4 linked regions of the Caenorhabditis elegans genome follow. The protein of the gene in region 3 interacts with the protein of the main gene of each other region in a pairwise test. Each region holds a gene or a part of one and is shown on either strand. Other genes may lie near its edges.

Evidence for each region.
Region 1: the proteins of lrx-1 (region 3) and clec-266 interact in a two-hybrid assay, tested with the Caenorhabditis elegans proteins (one large-scale study listed by BioGRID).
Region 2: the proteins of lrx-1 (region 3) and Y69A2AR.18 interact in a two-hybrid assay, tested with the Caenorhabditis elegans proteins (one large-scale study listed by BioGRID).
Region 4: the proteins of lrx-1 (region 3) and wht-7 interact in a two-hybrid assay, tested with the Caenorhabditis elegans proteins (one large-scale study listed by BioGRID).

What each region holds. Positions count from the first base shown.
Region 1 is NC_003284.9:6,616,889-6,622,694, forward strand, and holds clec-266 (C-type lectin domain-containing protein), read right to left. Parts: upstream 3,919-5,806; 5' UTR 3,216-3,918; coding exon of another isoform or gene 3,192-3,215; 5' UTR 2,359-3,191; coding exon of another isoform or gene 2,297-2,358; 5' UTR 2,240-2,296; coding exon of another isoform or gene 2,134-2,239; 5' UTR 1,942-2,133; coding exon 1,764-1,941; intron 1,617-1,763; coding exon 1,525-1,616; intron 1,473-1,524; coding exon 1,329-1,472; intron 1,066-1,328; coding exon 938-1,065; coding exon of another isoform or gene 934-937; exon of another isoform or gene 871-933; coding exon 666-870; 3' UTR 551-665; downstream 1-550. Other genes in the region: kqt-1 (Potassium voltage-gated channel subfamily KQT member 5), read left to right, coding at 2,134-2,239, 2,297-2,358, 4,835-4,931, 4,981-5,033, 5,222-5,370, 5,424-5,514, 5,580-5,706, 5,751-5,806.
Region 2 is NC_003282.8:2,493,987-2,498,202, reverse strand, and holds Y69A2AR.18 (F-ATPase gamma subunit), read right to left. Parts: upstream 2,469-4,216; 5' UTR 2,455-2,468; coding exon 2,368-2,454; intron 2,321-2,367; coding exon 2,216-2,320; intron 2,164-2,215; coding exon 1,914-2,163; intron 1,860-1,913; coding exon 1,750-1,859; intron 1,701-1,749; coding exon 1,454-1,700; intron 887-1,453; coding exon 786-886; 3' UTR 528-785; downstream 1-527. Other genes in the region: Y69A2AR.16 (Exportin-4), read right to left, coding at 69-171, 345-386; ccdc-12 (Coiled-coil domain-containing protein 12), read left to right, coding at 3,036-3,175, 3,229-3,382, 3,436-3,651; Y69A2AR.19 (Protein-tyrosine-phosphatase), read right to left, coding at 4,140-4,216.
Region 3 is NC_003283.11:12,250,736-12,256,000, reverse strand, and holds lrx-1 (LRP X(cross)-hybridizing), read right to left. Parts: upstream 3,317-5,265; 5' UTR 3,224-3,316; coding exon 3,137-3,223; intron 2,640-3,136; coding exon 2,535-2,639; intron 2,453-2,534; coding exon 2,168-2,452; intron 1,986-2,167; coding exon 1,856-1,985; intron 1,656-1,855; coding exon 1,530-1,655; intron 1,483-1,529; coding exon 1,348-1,482; intron 1,302-1,347; coding exon 1,185-1,301; intron 729-1,184; coding exon 607-728; 3' UTR 551-606; downstream 1-550. Other genes in the region: T04H1.12 (Activin_recp domain-containing protein), read right to left, coding at 172-358; T04H1.5 (G patch domain-containing protein 11), read right to left, coding at 3,652-3,790, 3,874-4,429, 4,480-4,654; rad-50 (Zinc-hook domain-containing protein), read right to left, coding at 4,942-5,106, 5,150-5,265.
Region 4 is NC_003281.10:6,146,546-6,151,497, forward strand, and holds the start of wht-7 (ABC transporter domain-containing protein), read right to left. Parts: upstream 3,046-4,952; 5' UTR 3,041-3,045; coding exon 2,954-3,040; intron 2,905-2,953; coding exon 2,848-2,904; intron 2,802-2,847; coding exon 2,693-2,801; intron 2,650-2,692; coding exon 2,522-2,649; intron 2,503-2,521; exon of another isoform or gene 2,466-2,502; coding exon of another isoform or gene 2,199-2,465; intron 1,752-2,198; coding exon of another isoform or gene 1,653-1,751; exon of another isoform or gene 1,641-1,652; intron 1,522-1,640; exon of another isoform or gene 1,405-1,521; coding exon of another isoform or gene 1,161-1,404; exon of another isoform or gene 1,007-1,160; coding exon of another isoform or gene 646-1,006; intron 595-645; coding exon of another isoform or gene 394-594; intron 342-393; coding exon of another isoform or gene 99-341; intron 1-98. Other genes in the region: Y42G9A.3 (Leucine-rich repeat and WD repeat-containing protein 1 LRR domain-containing protein), read left to right, coding at 99-341, 394-594, 646-1,002, 1,161-1,404; Y42G9A.2 (uncharacterized protein), read left to right, coding at 1,653-1,751, 2,199-2,465; rotr-1 (Nbl1_Borealin_N domain-containing protein), read left to right, coding at 3,471-3,517, 3,569-3,608, 3,730-3,839.

The sequences.
Region 1 (5,806 bases), on a different chromosome or scaffold from region 3:
TTTTCTATTATATTTTCCATCTTTGAAGGAAAACTTGGAAGATTATGTTTAAACTTATTCACCACAAAAATGTGAACGACTGAACTCATTTCAGAACTCCTGAAAACGCGGTCTGAAATATTTTTAGTCCATCATTTCTTAGAATTATTTTAATCGCTTACGGGATGTCTGCAGATTTTCTGAATTTTTTCTAGAGTTGTCTGGTGGCAGGAAAATAATCTGGAAGGCTTTTTTTAAAATTTTTTAATTATTTTTGAAAAAAAACAACTGAACATTTTTGAACTAACTCGATCAAAAAATGTTGAATTTTTTGAAACATTTTTTGGAGCAGTTTAACGGGTTTAAAAACTAGTGAAAAAACTGCATTCAAAATATTCCAGACCGCGTTTTGGGTTGAGTTCAGCCGCTAAAAGTTTTGCCTTGACAAAGTCTGAAAACATGACTTCAAATGACCAAATTCGTCATTTTTCCCACTGTTGTTTTTTTTGAATTACCTTTTCAATTTATTATTACAAATATAAATTTTCATCCGAAAAAAAGTAAAAAATAATTAATATTATGGAAACTTTATTGAGTTGAACAATTGAAAAATATACATAGTATACAGTTTTTTATAGACACAAGTTGAGATTAAATACAATTATTGATCGCGTTTATAATACAATTTAATCTTGGAAATCAAACTTTCTGTTCAAAAAATCAAGAATAGTTCCGTTTCTCTCGCAGATCGAGTAGAACTTGAAAGAGCATGGCTGGAAGTATGTGTAGGCAGAAGCGTCCCAGTTGATAGCGGCACTGAAGTGAGCAGCACAGTTGGCAAGAGCAGACCATCCATTAGAAACTGGTTTGTATGGGCGGATGAGCCAGTTGCTAAAAATTAATACATTTTGAAAAGTTTTTGGTAATGTCAAACTTCTGCATTAGGGCAAATGCTTACAGTCTAGTTGGGTTGACGGCTCCTTCGGTCTGCCAAATTGGAGCATCTTGGGATTTCTCAAAGTGGGTGAAACGAACAAGACCAATCCAGGTGTAACCGGTTTGTGGGAAATGCTCACGGACGGCATCCTGAAATTGATTTATTAAGTTTTTGCTCACGTTTTCGCAATTGATTCAGCAGTTAATTTGATGATCATTCCCTTCTCCCACCCGGACCACTTGTGGTTCTCTCTACAGATCATTGGGTATGCATTACCAACTCGCGACATCTATTCGCAACAAATTCCAAACATATGTGGGTTGGCTTTTCGCCGTGGCAGTGGTGACGGAGCGGCGTTTGTCACAGTCCGCTTCTCTCCTGCCCCTCGCGCCCTTTTTGTTCGTTTTCTTACCCATTCATCCTGTGAGTTGACCACGAAAAGTGTCGCGTTTTTCTCATAGCACCGTTTCTCAGCCTCAGCAAAGCTTTGCTTGTGCTGTTCTATCCAGTAGCACGAGTCCGAGAAGCGAACCCATCCGTCCGGGCATGTTCCAGTCTGAAAATAGAATAGCATTTACGGGCCTAGTTGGAACGAAAAACTATCTTACTGGAAAATCGTGGTAGTGTTGACGTTGGTCAAGGGAAATATCAGTGAAGGCGTTGGTTCCAAAATCCTTGTAGCTCCAGTTGAAGAGTTTGACTGAAAACTTTCAATTGTAAGTTTCATATAGCAATACATTGCAACCTTCTTCAATTTGTGAGAATGATGTTAATTTTTTGAAAAAGTTTTGGTGCTGTTCGATAGACAATGTCGAAACATTGAGAAGTATTTCCAAAATAATCTTACCTTGAGCAAACCGAGTTGATACAAATCCCACGGCAGCTACGAGTAGAACGAGTTTGAAGATTCTGAAATAACTTTTAGTTACATAGAATTTTTCAAATGAACTTTGGTAAATCGTAACTGTTAAACAAAGAACTGATTTGGAATCAAGTGAAACGGGGGGTATATTTAATTTCGTCATTACCCTAAAGCACTTCAAAAGTTTCGAGTGTTTTATTGACATAATCATAGATATTGATGGGTTGGCTACTCGTCATTGTTATTGTCTTAGGAACGCGCTTTATAGGTTTTCATATCGCATCACTTAATGTCGAAATTTTTTTCACTTTTCAACTTGCAAAATTTTCACAGTCAAAGTTTCAATTTTGAAGATATGTCTCAAGCTTCACAAGAAGACAATGACGGTGGAGATTTATTGTCCCCAGAGTCACCAATGACTCCAGACGGAATGATATTGGCACGAATGCCTTGGCACCCAGGTAAGACGACGGCGTGCGAACAAGAGAATCTAATTTGCATTTTTAATCCGTTGCCAGGTCTCATTGGAAATTGGAACACAGTGAAATCAGTGAGCTGCAGTATGCTCAATGGAGACGAGGTATGTATGTAGGTGGAGTGAAGAAGGGGGATTTATCACCCCAGATGCAAGAAGCCTGTTGAATGTCTTAATGTCCCCCTCTTCTCCTTTTTTTCCGTAAACATTGCTTCTTCATTTGGATTCCTATTCAATATCAAATCCTTCTTTTTTCTGGATTGGGTTGTGCTCACACAAGCTCACAAAACGTTGCTATTTCCCAGACAAACATCAAGATGGAAGCAACAATACAATTTCGATTAACCTTGAGATCGCATTAGTATTCTCTATTTAGCGCTGATCCTAAGCCTCAGATTACAGAGCACATTATGTTCTTCAGTCTTTTGTTTTTTCAAAACAAGTTTGTAAGAAAAAAGTGTATCTCTTTGACAAAAGTTTCTAAATTAGTGAACAATTTTCAAGAAAAATGGGAAAATAGACATTTCATTTTAGTTGCAATTACTTTTCATAATATTTTGCATCGCAATAATTAAAATTTAAAAAGCGCACCATTCCCTTTACCCTCTCGGTTCGCGTTGTTTCAAGCAACAGAGCACTTTGTGCTCCGTCTCTCAACCGATATTACTCGCCACCCAATTGCCCCCGCTTTTTCGGATGCAAAAGAGAGAGGAGAAATAGGGATGTGGGCGTGGCGATTCCCCAAGAAAAATAGCGCTCAGTCGGACAGAGCTCAGAAGCGGTGAGATAACAATCGAAAGGGCACACTGATTGTTAGCAGCGTTGCCTCCCCTTGATAACTGTGCTTTTCTCGTTTCCTTGATAATTTATGACTTGTCGTCGTAAATCTTGATTTTATTTTGCCCTTTTCCGCAACCCTCCATCAAATCCGAAGCTCAATGGACGAAGAAAGTGGAAGCTCGGTGAGTATGTGGTTAACAATGAGAAAATTGAGTCCGGTAGCCATGGTGAGCCGGTCACAGAAAAAAACGGTGGGAATATTTGAAGCATGTGACGAAAATATTTTGGATTATTGTGACTTGTAACTTGAAACACTACTAGAGCGGACGAACCTAAATCATTTTGACATTCATTTTAGTATCCGGTTTCGACCGAATACGCATCCCTCTTGTCTCAAATCTATTGGTGTGCTTCCCACATGACTAAATACGAGTCTGAACACCTTTTTGAATTGTTTTATATTAGAGAAACAAAATAAGTTGTTATTTTTTGACACTCATTGTCTAGAATATTTATCAATACCAATTCATATTCTGATGATTGTTTTCTGTTATGCAATTTCTCTTTTCATGAAGAAAGCAGTGGTCATTTCTAAGGCTTCTTCGAGCCGAGCTTGACAGCTCTGATTCTCTCATCTCTTCACACATTTCTCTTCGGCAGTTCCTGACGACTATTGCCATACTGATATAATACTGATTGTGAGAGAAAAAAAGAAAACACCAATTTTCTAGTATCACTACGAATTCTGCTTACAAAAATCTTAGATTCCGCACTGGCTTGATTATAGTCATCGTCATCTTTCTATAAACAAACACCTCTTACCAACTCACCAAAAAATGGTGAAATATAAAATTAGAGCTCACACGCGCGATTAACGTCACCTCTGGTTTCAAAAGTGTGTTGGTGTGTGTATAAAGTGCACAGACTCACTCGACAACTCCAATTCTTTGCCTAATAATAGCTATTTTATATTTCTGAGACGATGATTTTTATGATTTTTTTTCAATCCGACTAAAAGAGGATGTGAGAAAAAAAGATATCCATGCTTTCCATATTTACTTTTTATAGGTAGAATTCTTGTATCTCTTTACAACTCCAGCTCACAGCTGAACATACAAAATCTTTTCTATTGTTCACACTATACAGCTCTAGAGCTCATTTTTGAAAGCTAGCAGAATAAGAATTCAGACAGATTTTATTTTTATATATCATAAACGGTCAACATTGTGACACTCATAAAATCAACACTTTTGCAAATTTACTTTCAACAACATATATTGATTAACTTAAAGTAATTTCTACTAGCGTGAAACATATAATCAAAGTGGGCGTACTAAACTGCCGATTTTCTCACAAAACCTTCTGTCTATAACTTCCACCTGTTCTTGTGAATGTTCAAACATTTGGAAGTGTTTCCAAGTTTTTTGTTATTAGTTTCCTCACATCAAAAACGTCTTGCTCATAATCCATGAGATGTCAAAGATAAACAAATGTTTAGCATGATTATCCTAGAATAAGAAGATAAGATTAGAACGCAATCATTATACTTACTCTTAACTACGACTATTTAAACTACTGAGGATTTATTTATTGAATATCATGACTGACTGCTTCTACCTCTACATTTTTCTACTTGTAGTCATTTTTTTTCTGCTCAAAGGGTTACTCTTGTTTACTGATATTGGGTAACGAAGTCACTTATGAGAGAATACATTTAGAAGCAGTCGTTGAAAATGGTTTGGGATGAAGTCTTATTAACCCTCAGATGTACTTCTGTTCAAATTTTCAGTGACGTTTTCAGACTGATCAAGCAGCTCCAAGTGATGAGCAGCAGGAAGCTGGCTCGTCTTCAGCAATCGGTCAAGAATCTCGAAAAACAGTTGTATTTCAAGAACCCGGTAAGCATTATTAATAAGCTTTTACAATAACCAGTTGAATACTTTCTAGATATTGGATTCCCGAGTGAACACGATCAACTGACAACTCTACACGATTCTGAGGTTGGTTTCCACTTAAAATCAATAAATCTTGTGTGTAGGATAGTAAAGTTAAGCATTGCCACATGGAGTTGCCATAAAACCGTCGGGTTGGGTGGCTTCTGCAGGGGAAACATCCCTTTCAACCCATTGCTTTGAATCAATGATTCTCAATTTCTTTGCTCAATCTTAATAATGCTAGCCTATTTCAGGAAGGAAACCGAAAAATGTCATTAGTTGGAAAACCGTTAACCTATAAAAACTATCGTACTGATCAACGATTTCGAAGAATGCAGAACAAAATGCATAACTTTTTGGAAAGGCCGCGTGGCTGGAAAGCTGCCACTTATCATCTTGCAGTGTGAGCTTACGGAGAAAAATAATACAATTAATTTAAAAAAAAACATTTTTCAGATTATTCATGGTCCTAATGTGCTTAGCGCTGTCAGTGTTTTCTACGATGCCAGATTTTGAAGTTAATGCAACAATTGTGTTATATTATTTGGTAAGATAACAAATTTAATTTAATTTAAGTTTAATAGCCCTAAATTTATGACTAAAAGTGTTCAGGAAATAGTATTTGTGATCTGGCTGGCTACTGAATATATCTGCCGCGTCTGGTCAGCCGGATGCCGCTCAAGATACCGAGGCATTAGCGGACGGATACGATTTGCCACAAGTGCTTACTGCGTCATCGGTTCGCACTACAATAGTTCGTGTCTAGTCTGACTATATTTTCAGACATAATCGTTATTCTTGCATCTATCACAGTATTATGTATCGGAGCAACTGGGCAA
Region 2 (4,216 bases), on a different chromosome or scaffold from region 3:
CGATTTCCTAGCGTTTTTCGTGAATTTCTTGTCAAAAACCAAGTTTTTTCAGCGATTTTCCAACGTACTGAGCAGAATTAAACATTCGTTAATTGAAATTTTCTTCTTTAAATCCTCGAAAAAGAATGTGACTTGTTCACGGGCTTCTGACGTCACCAGGTTCGGTGGGGCCTGAAAAATTGGGGTTTTAGAGAATTTTTCCTGAAAAAAACCGAAAATTTGCCGTTTTTTTCACTCAAAAATTCGGAAAATCACGGATTTAACGATTATTCAGGAAAATTCAGAATTTTTTAGCAAATAATTGTTAAAATCTAACATTTATTTGAAATTTTCTGAAAATTTACCAATAAGGTTTGTGCATATCCTTCTATCGTCGCGAGATCCATTTATCGGTTTTTTCCTAAAAAATTTTAATTAATTTCTTTTTAATCTATTTTTTTTTCTTCCAAAATAATCCGCATTAGGTAATTCTTACCGTCATTTTTTCCCAAAAATTTTCCGCAAAAAAAATATTTTAAGACTACCATACTAATCAAATTTTTTTGCATGATTTCCACGACCGGGAAATCATACAAAAATATATTTATTTCGCTTGTTTTTGTGTCACTATTTACTCAAACGTATCACTATAACAACGGGTTACACACAAAAAAATAAAAAATAAATCGAAACATCTAATTTTTGGGGGTGACAGGAAGGATTTAAAGTGGGGAAAATTGGGGCGTCGAAACAGCGATAGTTTGAACAACAATGGATGTAGAAAAGGGACAGAGAGAGAGAGATATTTAGACGCAGGCAGCTCCAGAGATGATTTCGATAAGTTCGCGAGTAATCACTGCTTGACGAGTTCTGTTGAAGGCCAATGTAAGCTTGTCGATCATTTCTCCTGAAAAAATAGAAATTAAATTTGATGTTGTAGCTATTTTTTGGATTCTGTAGTTAACATTTGAGAAAAACAAGATTTCGCGCCGGTAAACGACACTCCGAAATCCCGTCGCTGCAAATTTTTTAATAACATTTTTGGGCAAGAAAATCTGGTTTTTCAGTAGAAAATGGATATTTAACGTTAAATTAAAATTCCACATGGTTTTAAAAAAATTGTAACAAAACAGATTCTCAACGATTTCCGACGTTTTTTTGCAGAAAATCGACCATTTTTAAAGTTTTGAAACAGTTTTTTTTGTTGAGAAAAGTAGTTTTTCGGCGATTTGCAACACGAAAACCGGATATTCCTAGAAAACAGAATGCGAACCATTCGAATCAGAAAATTGTCTGGAAATATAAAAGAATATTCGCGAAAAATCACGAAAATGAGCCGATTTTAACTCCAAAAATGCCCAAAATACGTTTTCCAGCAAAAATATCAAATTTCAAGCCCAAAATTGCAATTTTCTGGGCTGTTCAATCAGAAATCATCTAATTCTTCGCATCGTCGTCCATCGCCGCCTCTTACCGGCGTTCTTCGATGCTCCGTCCATGGCAGTCATTCTGGAGCTCTGCTCTGAGGTTGCGGATTCCTTCATTCCGTAGTAGATCAATTGGGCGAGCGAATACTCGGAATACGATTGGAGAACGTCATCGTCGACGGAATCGTACGTGCTGAGGGCTTCCTTGGCCTTGATTGCCTCCAATGGAAGAATTTGGAGCTTTGAGGTTTCGTACGAGACGACGGTCTTGAAACGGTTGAACAAGATGGTTCCCTGCAAGAAAAAAAAATGGGGGGTTTTTAACTAGAATTTGAATATTTACAGTCTCAAAGTCATATCCAGAGTCGAGGATAGCCTTGGCAGCGATGGAAGCATCAGCGAAGCTTGGTGGAGCACGTCCAATCTCGTTTCCGGAGAGAAGAATGCTGTTAGCTGGAAAATAAACACAATTTTAAGACTTTTTCCCGAGAAAAACCAAAATATTACCATAAAGACGTTGAAGTCCGGCTCTGGACTTGTCTCCGATGGCTACAACGCGGATTTCCTTGTCTCCGGCGTTGTTGAGGATGTTCTTGGCCTCCTTGACGATGGAAGAGTGAACTCCACCGCAAAGTCCTCTGTCGGAGGTAATGAGCACCAAAACTTGCTTCTTGGACTCTTGCTTCTCGACTCCCTCGACAACTGGATCGATGTTGTCGAAGAAGGTCTTGGCTCCGACTCCGTAGGCTCTAGCTCCCTGGAAAATTTTGATATTTAAAGATTTTTCTTGAATAAAATCAAAGTTTTACCTTCAACTCACGCTCAGCCTTGGCGTACTTGGCGGCGGCAACCATCTTCATGGATTTGGTGATCTTTTGGATGTTCTTGACCGACTTCAGACGGATGGAAATGTCCTGAAAATTGGAGAATTGTGGGAAGCTTCAAAAAATCGCCTAGTTACCTTCAAAGTGGCAAATCCACGAGCCTGCTCGGCATTGGCGAAGCCTTGAGACACAAGCTGGAGAGTTCCCGCGCCTTGACGAAGCATGATGACCCTGAAAACTGTAGATATTGAGAAAACGGGTATTTAAAAACTTCGAAAATGACGTAATTTCTTGAACGTTTTCAGGAAAAATTCAATGAGAATTTTCCATGTATGCATATATCAATGTTGAAATAAAAATTGCAAATTGTTTTCTATAGGTTTCAGAAAGGAAACGAAAAATGCGGACAAAACGCATTTTTACTTTCAGATTTAGACCTAATTTTATCAAAATCAGGCGCTCAGCACGCTGTTTTTACGTAATTCTAAATGAAAACTGTTAATTTTCAACAGAAAATCAATAAAAATTAAAGAAAAAACCTGAAAATCGCTGAAAATCCGTGGAAAAATGAATTTTCACGCGCAAAAAATGGCAACCGCCCGAGAAACATAAATCGCACACGCGAAACGACTGTGACCGTACCCCCATTTCGCGGCGAGACCCACCACACGCCGTAAATCCACACTGAGTTTTTGAATTAATTTTTTTTGTTTTTCAGCTGATTTTTGCTTAAAATTCGTCTTTTTCTTTGATTTTTTTACATGAAAATTACTGAAATGTATTGAATATAATTAAAAATTTGCAGATGACCGACAAAAACAACAGCGATTCCGATGAAGACATCGAAAGTCTCACAAATCATGAAACGTCGTTAGAGGCTGCGGCGAAAGCACGCAAACGACGATTACTAGCGATGAAGTCGAAGATTCATGGAATTGAGATGCAGTGAGTGTCATTTTCATTCAAAAATTGCATAATGCTATTGTTTTTCCTTTCAGAGAGGAGGATTACGACGAAGGCGAGACTTCTACCAAGAAAAGTCGCGAAGTTGGTCGAGAATTCCGGAATCACAAGCCAGACGATGCCGTCGGCACGCAAAACGTCGACATGGATCTGGATATCGTTCAGCGAGAAATTACGGAGCATTTGAAGGTAGAGAGTCATCGAAAAATCACAATTTTCCATAAATTCCCCGCTTTTTCTAGGACGTTCTGCACGAAAAAGCCATCGACAGCGTAGATCTGGCGATGTTGGCTCCGAAGAAGATCGATTGGGATTTGAAGCGAGACATCGAGTCGAAATTGCAAAAATTGGAGCGGAGAACGCAGAAAGCCGTGGCGACGATCATCAGACAGCGGCTCGCCGAAGGAAAAGGAGATCTCGCCGCTACAGTAAATGCTGCGGCGGCACAAAATTTGTAAAATTTAAATTATAAATCGGATATACACACTGAAAAATCTTGTTATCGAGTCACAAAGTATGAAAAAACAGAAATTCAGACAAATTTCAGGTTTTTTATGAACTTCCCGAACTCCCAGTAGCAAAAAAAATCGATTTTCGCTAAATCCTTCAGAACAAAACGTGTAATTTTGGCAAACTTTTCCGGCTCAAAAAGCTTTTGTGACAAATTCACTAATTTATTCTTTTTTTTCAAAGCTTTTAAGATCAAAAAAAACAACCGAAAAGTTTGGATCTTTTACTTTTTGCAGACGAGAAAGTTCCCTTTTTTCATTAAAATTCAGTGGAAAAAAGGGAATTCCTTCAGGAAATCTATGAAAAACAGGCAAAAGTATATATTTAATTATAGGTTACTATTGATCAACAGTTTCAAGAAATAATTCATTGGTGGTCATGAAAAAAGTTCAATGACATAATCAAGTCTTCTAGTAGGCAAAAATCAAGTCAATTCTCAATATTCCATGTCGACAGCAATACACTCGGCTCCTCCTTTCTTACGATCACCACCAAGATCTTCATCAATTCCAG
Region 3 (5,265 bases):
TAGCTCAACTTTGTTCAAACTTCTGCCAACTTCTGATTCAATTTTTTGGACCAGAACTTAATGACAGTTAATGGTAGTTAATCAATGTTGGAACAAAAAATATTGAGTCGGAGACGGTCAATACGAAATGATCAATATTAAAAGTTCCAACTTCAAAAAATATGTGCATACCAGAATTCTGACTAATTTGCATTGTCTTCACACAAAGTGCATTATTCAAACGACAATGTGAGCTCATTGGTTTGACGAGAACTCTGTCCATGTATGATGTTGAGTTGATGCACTCCAGTGATATACATATTAACGGAAGTAATGTCAAAAGTGTGAAAATAGTAACAGAATATACGGAAATACTCATGAGTCTAACACTGGTTGACTTTCGGTGTCAAAGTTGAAAAGGGGTAAGAGTAACAAAAAGAAGAGAAAAAGAGAAACAGTAAACCTTGAAAAATAACCAGTCCCCACCCTTTTCGACCTCTTTTCCGTCAAATTTTCAAAGCGAAACTAATCGTTTTGTCAAATAATTTGAAAGAATATTTCAAGAAGCAATGACATTCATGTATTTATTTATAAATTAAGGGAAATCGACAAGAAGTTCAGCAGTATCTAGTAACAATATTTTTCATCAGATCCATCAGCACAATCTGTTTCTCCATTACACCATTGTAGACGTGTCACTGATTGTTTTTGATTCTCGCAGAGCAAATATTTTTGGCGTCCTTCTTGTTCTGAAATAACAAGTGTAGTATTCGTCAGTGTTTATTTGGACACTTGGCTAAAAATACTTTTTTTCCTATGTTTTTGTCTCGAACAAGAAAAAGTTCGCACATTGAAGTTGTGCCAAAATGTGTGGTTATAGTTAAGAAAGACATTCCAAATTGTATGTATTTCTATTAATGTTGCACTCCCAATGTTAGACTTTGACAATTAAATATCTCAGTTGTCTTTTCTCCTATTTAAAAATTGTCATTTGACAATTTTTTGAAAACTTTTTTCTATCGTTTGCAGTCAATTATTTATTGAAAAATATGTTCAATATCTTTAAATTGAACCGAGGTATAACCTTTTAAAGTGAAATAGTAGGATGCGATATTATTAGAGGAAGTACTGTACATTATTTCGCCACTTATAACTTTCCAGAGGTGTTTTCCGGGTGAGAAGAAGGGAGGCAGAAAAAAACTTACTACAATTCATTTCATCTTCTCCATTTAAACAATCTTTCTTTCCATCACAATGCATATCTAAATCCACACATGAAACACCTCCACGCGATGTTCCACAGACGAACTTTCCAATACAAGCTTTAATTACTTTGTTATAAAGTACATTTTAAAAAGTAAAAATTACTTGTATTTTTACTGCATCCAATTTCATCAAGATTCGATCCATCTTCACAATCATCAGCCACACCGTCACATCTTTTGTTTGCAGGAATACAATGTTCACTCTTCACACATGCAAACTCATCACGTGCACACGATGCTAAAGGTTTTCAATTTAATTGGCAATTGTTGTAATGAGTAACTTACGACAATTGTTCTCATCTTCCCCATCGGCACAGTCTGGGTGACCATCACAACGTTTGCTCACATGGATACAGGATTGAGGCATTGCACAACAAGCAAACTCATTTTCAGTACAGGTGTCTTTGATTGCTGCAATATCAAACACTATTTTATATTGGAGCTTTTTGTAAATAAATATATTTTATAGATTTCGAGAAAAAATCGATGAAATAATTAAGTTTCCATAAAATCAAAATCAGAAAATTGCAGATTTACAAACTTTCAAGCGCACCTCATGGTGCATCAACGCCATATGAAATTTTATACATACTCTTAATTGAATGACTTACTACAGTGCATGACATGATCGTATTCTGGACAGAATTTAATAGCATTCTTGTGATTACAATTTTCAGTAGACTTATCAAATGCTTGATCTTCGGACATACACGCCAGAGGAAAAGTCTGGCCAATTGAACACTGAAAATATGAAAGAAGTTCGGAATTTCAGAAATCTATTGACTGTAGAAATATAAATATTGATAGCATACAAATAAAAATAGCTTATTTCGTGCATACAATAAAGATAAGTTTCAATACTTTAAATTATACATTTGTTCAACTATTTCTGTATTTCAGAAAAATAATTTCCAAAAAATTACCTGGAAGAAAACATGAGAGCATGAAGTGTTGTATACAAAATAATCAATCCTTTCTAATCCATATTGTGCTAGTACATCATCTGGGAATTCTCGTTTATCACAATAGTTAATTGCATAGCTGTTGTCTGGTTTTTCTGGAGCTTGAGTTTGAGGCATTGGTGGTGGGATTGTACCAGGTTCAACGATTCCAGATCCACCAAGTGGAAATACAGGGTTCACAACTTTAAATTGAGGTTCTTCAGTTTCATAAATGTCTACACTATCCACATCTGGTTCGACTACATCCTAAATATTGTTTCTTGATATTCTGGTAATGTAAACAAATATAGACCTATCCTCGGCCCTGGCCCAAGCCTTTATAACTTACAATATTTGGATATGGCTGCTGAACAGTATGAATGCTTGATTGAGGATTTGGAACGTAGCCTCCAGAACCAGACGAAGCACTAGGTTGTACATATGGATAAGGCTGCTGGAAAATATTTATACAATTCACTAAAGAAAAACGATTGTTTTGATTTTTTTCAAAATTAAGTTTTTAAATCGTCTGTGAATCCAATTGGAATCTTTATGTTGCCTAAAACCATAATGATTTTTTGTGCGATTTTTTGTCAAAATTAGGTCTCGATACGACAGAAATATTTTAAATACGGTGATTTTAAATAGTACTGTAGTGCGACTCATTTCACAATTTTTTCGATTTTACATAAATATTTTCCTTGTAGCTCATACCGATTTATATGTAAATACGAAACAAATAGTTAGAAATAAAGCATTAAAATCGGAACGAACGAGGAAAAATTGAAAAAAAAACTTGAACTTGAACTACAGTACTCCTTATAGGTGCAAATCCCTTGGCGAGCCCTTCATTTGAACAATATCTTGGTCGTGGTGAGACCCTAAGCATTAGAAACTTTGAGAAAGAGAAATAAGAACAAATGCTACAAATTTTTGAACAGTTCACTGTACCTGCTGAGTTGCTGTGCCATATAGATCCTGTGGAAGAACCGGTTGAACGGCTAGAAGAATGAAAAATATGGACGTTAACCATGCCATGATTTGCAAAATGATTGGCAATCAAATTTACCGGAACAGATCGAGAGAATGGATGAGCAGATGATAAAGATGGTGGAACTTGATGTTGCTGCCCACTGAAGACTGTAGCTGAAGAAGCACAAGTGTCGTGTGTGCACTGGACTTTCTTCTTTTTCAATTGTTTGTGTTCTTTTCTATCGCTAAAGAAGCTTTTCGCGCTGTTGGGGGCTACTGGTGGTGCGCGGCAACTGATCGCCACTTCAAGCTGACTGACTAGTGGTCACTTGTCACTTGATACGTTCCCACCTTGAGAAACAACACAGGAGCAGACAATAATGAAGCAAAAAAGCAAAAAAAAAAAGTGACACGATGTTAGGACACGAACTTGGTTATAAAAAAGGATTCATAGTATATACATCAAGAATTGAGATTTTATGAAAATAATTAATCTATTCATCTTCTCCATGATGTGCTCGACGAGTGCTCCCAGGACAATGTTCGATCATATCTTCTGGCGAGGAAAAGTTGGCTCCGCACCAAATACAATAGAAGTGACCATCTCGAAGATAATTGTTGATAGTGGAAAGTCTGAAATAAACGCATATTTAATACTATTGTCGGTTTGGATAAATAACGCTCATTGAAACCTTATCTACAAAACAAAAACTTACGCTTCTTCTAAAATTTCCGTTGACATTGTGAAATCATAATTCGGATCTTCTGGAGCTGCTAAACCATTTGAGTACTTATATTCTTCATCTTCTTTTTCAACTTTTTTATGGTAAGATGTAGTTTCCTCTTGAGCAACTTTATAACTTCTCCAAAACCACGAAACACTGGGAACTTTTTTTCCAATTCGATGATCCAACTCTTCGCACACCTTTCGACAAGATCTGATGTCTTTGACTAATTGCTTTGAGTTGGCATCAAGCTTCCGCCGTTTGGAATAGTCATCGATCAGCTCTTCATGCTTTGCCGCTTGTTCTTTCATTTTTTGCATTACAGCCTCAACTCGTTCATTGCGTTCTTGAACTGCTTCAACCTCGTGCCCAAGTCCCTTCCTATTAGCCTTGATATCGACACCAATTGGTTCCGTAATTCGAATTTCGTCTTCTCTTTGCTTTCCCAATGTCATACCAGGTTTGAATCCCATTTTTGCCATCAATGCAAATCCTTTCGATTCGTGGCTAATCGGTTTTGCGAGCGCCTCGTCGCGACGTTCTTTTTCTGAAATTTATTTGGTAAACTACAAAAATAATATACTACGATTTACAAACCTCGCTCAGCATGACTAGTTGGCCTTTTTGGTTTAAACGTGTCTCTGGACTCTTCAAATCTTGAATTTATTTGTAGTTCTCGCTTGTGAGCTCTAGATTTTGCAATTCCAACTGGTTGTTCACTAACTCCTTGGAGAATTTCAGCAGACATGTAGTCATCCTCATCGTCAGACATTCTGATCTTGAATCGAAATTTTTTATGAATAAGGTTAGCTTTTAACAAGAAGAAAGAAACAAAAGCGTAGCAAAAAACGCATTAGAATATTGAAACAGTTAGAAAATATTTTTCATTTCACATCGGCCGATGCATCGGGTTCATCTCGTAAAATATAAAACATGAGGTAACAACATTTGGAAACTCGGGAATGATCTGACAAAGCATAAAACATAATTAAAAGGTGAGCGAATCAATTTTGAGACCGTAAAATATTATTTGTACTATTGAGATTCTTCAATACCATTCTAGAACCGTCTCTTCGTATTAACTCTTTTCACTGTTCCATCTGGATAACGTTTCGAAAGGAAACTTATTCCGTGCTCGTCCTTCCCCAAACAATAAATATACTCTGGACGACAACTGATTGTGATCCTGTTGACGAGTCGCTCATCGTGAGTGATTACTACCATCTATAAGTTTGATTATTAGTTTTGATAGCTCATTATCCCATACCTGCATATCTCTTCCTCTCAACTTTCCATTTTCATCGAATCCGCGTCTTTCAGCAATTATATCTGCCAAAACGATAGCCATTCCTTCCACTTTGCTCTCATCCAAATTTGTTGTTG
Region 4 (4,952 bases), on a different chromosome or scaffold from region 3:
GATTTTGTTTGATATATCACACTGTAAATGCGTGTAGAATCACGAACACTGATAAAAACGGCTGGCAATCAGCTGATATAATGAACCGGTACTTTCAGAAGTACTAAATCCGACGAACTTGTTCTTCATGACTATGGACTTGAAGAAATTCCAATGCGGTATCATATTGAGCAGCCAGAAGAAGATTACGATCCACAAAATGTTAAAAAGTTGGATCTCACTCATAACTCTTTCGTGATTCTTCGTGGTCTCACAACTTTCAATAATGTCTCGGTTCTTGATGTATCGTTCAATTCACTTTCGGCTTTACCAGAAGATATTGGTACTCTGAGCAGTTTGACGTGAGTACATCAGTTACCAAGTTAAAATTTAATTGACTTGAGTTGATTTCAGAACTCTAATTGCTCGAAACAACTTGTTGGAACATTTACCAAAAGGATTGCAACTTCTTGAGAATTTGGAACATCTTTATCTTTCTGGAAATCGACTTGAATACGTACCACCAGTCATTTTGACTATGAGAAAATTGAAAACTCTTCATCTCGGAGGAAATTACATCGACAGTTGCCCATCAAACATTAGTGTTCTTACGTTGTAAGTTTCCTGAAACTGTGTTTAAAAACTGTTAATCATTTCATTTTTTAGACTGAGAGTTCTATATCTCGGAGGTAATCGACTCCGTGAAATTCCTGCATCCATTGGTTGCCTAGATGAATTGGAAAACCTTGGTCTTTGTGATAATATTCTAGAGACAATTCCATCAACATTAGGAGATTTGCACTATTTGGAGACTTTGTCCTTGCATAACAACAGATTGCGAACTCTGCCCACTGATATTTTAAATCTGCGACGTCTGCAGCAATTATCTCTCCGTAACAATCCTCTGGTTCATTCATTCGTTCATAATATGGATCTTGCACCTCCATCATTGAAAGAATTATCAGGAAGAACTGTTCGACAGAACTATCACAAAGTACCGAATCTGGACGAAATTTTGCCATCGTAAGTCTTATCAAATCTTTAATTTTATTTTATGTTGGGGACATTCTAGTGATTCAAAATTGTATCAAATTGAACCCTGACGTGACCTTGTTTCTGATCAGAGTACGATATTTTTGAATCAAATTGTTTATCGAATGCCTTACAATAACCCTTTTCAGTGATCTCGTAGCTTATCTAGGATCCGCTTGTCAATGTGTCAACCCTGAATGTCAAGGAGTCTACTTCGATGCTCGAGTTGAGCATATAAAATTTGTGGATTTCTGCGGAAAGTATCGAGTTCCACTTATGCAGTTCCTGTGCTCACCACGTTGCTCCGCCGGAGTTCCATCAGTCGACTACGATACTTCGTCTGAATCAGAAGAGGAGATTGAGCCAATCATGAGAAGAGTCTTGCTTGGTTGAATTTCGTGTTAATGTATTTTAATTCAAACTTAGAATCTCAGTTGTGATCTCGTTATATTGACATTTTCATGTTTTTTTTTCATACGCCGAGGAATTATATGAACTGTTTTTTGGGTACACTTTCCAACTATAGTTAGAGACGATTAAAAAGACTAAACCAAATCGATTTGTACTAAAACCCGAAGAAGATTAACAAAGGGAGGTCATGACATGGATATTCAATGTGATTTATCGACTCATTCGAAACAATGCAAACTTTGACATTAATTTTTATATTTTCTGTGATTTTGACTGTATTCCATGTGGAATGTGCAACAAGAGCACCAAAACTTTCGAAACACACAAAGGTGAGCATTTATTTTCTGGAAAGGAATGAAAGTTGCTATCTTTTTTTCTTGAAACGCGAAACTTTGGTTGCAAAAATGTTTTTCTCAAATTTTTTTAGTTGTGCAAAATTAATAGCCTTTGGGGTACGGTTACTACATAAGTTCCCTGTTTTTGGTTTTTTTTTTGCTCAAAGTAAAAAAAAACATTTAATTTGTGGAATTTAGACAATGTATCATTTATCAAATTTGATTTTCGAACGATGATCTCTGCAAAAGTCCTAAATATCATCTTCTCTAACACCTTGCAATTCTTGTTAACCGGTTTACAAGTCTCAATTTGCAAACACAAAATTTAATATAGTTTTAAGGCCTAATCTCTGAATTTTCTGTGTCACAAGGGGGTATTCCCCAGGTTTTTTTTCAGAAAATGTTCATTGTCCCACCACAACTGATGATATCAAATTATAGAAAACAGTCAACAAGTTGGTCAACTGTCTGACTCCCGTGGACACCGTTTTGGCCGCCAAGACAGCCGATTGTGAAGACAGTATCTGTGTGTCAAGTGCTAAACAATATGCACAGAGACGATATCCAACACAGTATCATAGTACAGTAGTCCCATGTCTCTCATCAACAACTACATTGGCTCCTGTCACTGAGAAAATGGAGAAAACCAAGAAAAATGGAACTAAGAACAGGAAAATGAAGGTGGAAGGCGTTGTCAACCAAGAATAATTGGAATTGAAGAAATAAATAAATTTTCAGTCTTTTTAAATTATAATTTAGCTCACCTTGACACTTCCGGTAGCTTTCAAATTTGAAAGGTTTCGCTTTGTAAGCACATTGAGCAGCGTAGTTTTTCCAGCTCCACTGGGTCCAATGATCGCGGTAACCTCTCCGGGTCGAGCCACTCCGAACACTGAAAGTTATTATAATTTCGTTTCCGATAGTATCAAATTTACCACTATCTAAAATCCGTTTTTCCACTGACATCTTCTCTACATCACCGACTTTGATCGGGCAACATTTTCCAAAAAGTCCACTATTTGAAGAGTAGTCTTCTGAAGAGTCCTGAAAATTCTAAATATTGTTCACAACAAAATTTTTTATTATATACCGAAACTGAAATATCGTGCCATGTCAGCAGCATTTTTGGTCGAAGCTCTTCCATAAACTGTAAAAATTAAAAATTAATTGAAAACTATGCAAAAATAAAAAATCACGGATTTATCAGCTTTATCAATATCAGAAGTTGAATCCACTACACTCATTGACTCGATTGAACCTTGAATAACATTTGATTTGAGCATTTTTGCTGAAAAAGGTGAAAAATGAGTATAAATTGATTAAACCGAAGGCGGCGGTAATAAAATTCAAAGAAGCGCGAAAAATAAATCATTGACCCCGCAAACACCGGTACGCAAACTTGCACACACAGTTCACCGTACTTGACGACAAATTATCAGAAGAAATGGGTGAATCACCGACGACGGTGAAAATTTTAATCGGACAGAAAAACCGATAGGGAGTTTTCAATATCGAATAAAAATCATGTGCATCTCACACAAAAATTCATAAACGCAAAGACAAACAAACAGAATCGATTCGACTCGTCATCAACAAGAGCTCACTTGCGGAGCTCTGTGCACCACGGTCGATGACGATTGTCGGAAATGATAAGTGACATTCTTATCATCCAACACAACAGAAGGGCTCATTGTGTTGAAAAAATCAACGACGATGGACGACAGTCAAGAGTCGAGTTTTTCGGTTTCCAAATATGAAACGTAAGTCGAATAGAGTACGGTATTCGGAAAATCTGAAATTTAAATTTTTAGAAATGATGATGGATCTATGGGCCAATTCATTTCAATAAATGTAAGTTAAACTTCCATTAACAGTTTTTCAAAAGTCTGAGAAGGTAGATCAATATAATTCATTAGAGCGCATTTGCTCGCCTTGGATCAAAAACTTGGAAATCTATAATAATAATTTGAAGGAATGTGAACGGGAAATTCAAATGTTAGAACGTGACATTCGTCAACAGAAAGAGTCCAGTGCAAATGCGAAAACAGCGATAACATTCGATCAACTTCGGAAAATTCATACGTACGTTCCGGGCCGTCCGATCAGTTTTCCCGTCGGCCTCAATAGCTCACACAGGTAAAGCGCCAAGTGTGAAAAATGGCTGAATAGTGGGTGAAGGGGCGCTGGCGGGTGAACGATGGGGGAAAAATGGGCGAAGGACCGCAAAAAGACGAAGCAATGGGTGAATAAATTGACCAATCCGAAAATCAAAAAAGAAGTAAAAAAGGAGCATAGCAAAGTATTTCCGAAGTATTCATGCATAACTAGTATACGTGTTTATGGAAGTGTTTATTGTTAACAATGTTACAATCAATTGATTGTTGTAATGTTCACTTCATTTCCGAACATCTACTATTAGAGTCATCTGTTGTTGAATAATGTGAAAAACATTTTGTTACTTTTTTAAGGGTTATATTTATAGAAAAAATACCAATTTGTTATTTCCCACAAGTTTGGACATTCATATTACATTCTCAGTCGAACAATCACCTATATAAGAGTTGATTGAGCATATAGACGTCTTACTTTAAAAGACTCATAACTCTGTTGGCATTTGAATTAATAAAATGTGGCCAACTGAAAAGTTGTTGACAATAATGTGAAAAACATTTTGTTAGTTGGTAACTTTTTGTTATCTTTAGTGACTGCGGAGATGTGGGCTTCAAAAGATAACCAAAATATTCTAGATTTGTACTTAAATATATCTCAGTTCTCGATAAAGATGAAGAGATACTTACAACTATCAATATGTTTATTGTTTTAAACTTAACAACGTTGTAGTTGATAACTTTTTGATATCTTGCCTCTAGAATTAGATACATCCATTTTAATACAGGAGGTTTTAATTTTCAGAGCTCCAAGGAATGTCGGTTTGACTTATCGAAAGCACCGAACTTAGCAAAAAAACTTATAGAAACAAACAATTCAACATATTTCTACAATACCTGATAAAAATTTGATAATTTTTGAAAAAAAATTTTTTTTGATTTTTGAAAAAAAAATCCAAAGGGTCCCCCCTTACAAAATTTTTCAAAATTTTTTTTTTGGAAACTTTTTATAATATGATTAGATGTTATAGAAAAATCCAATGTTTGTAATTATTTCTAGTTTGTATGTTCTGAACACGATTTCGGA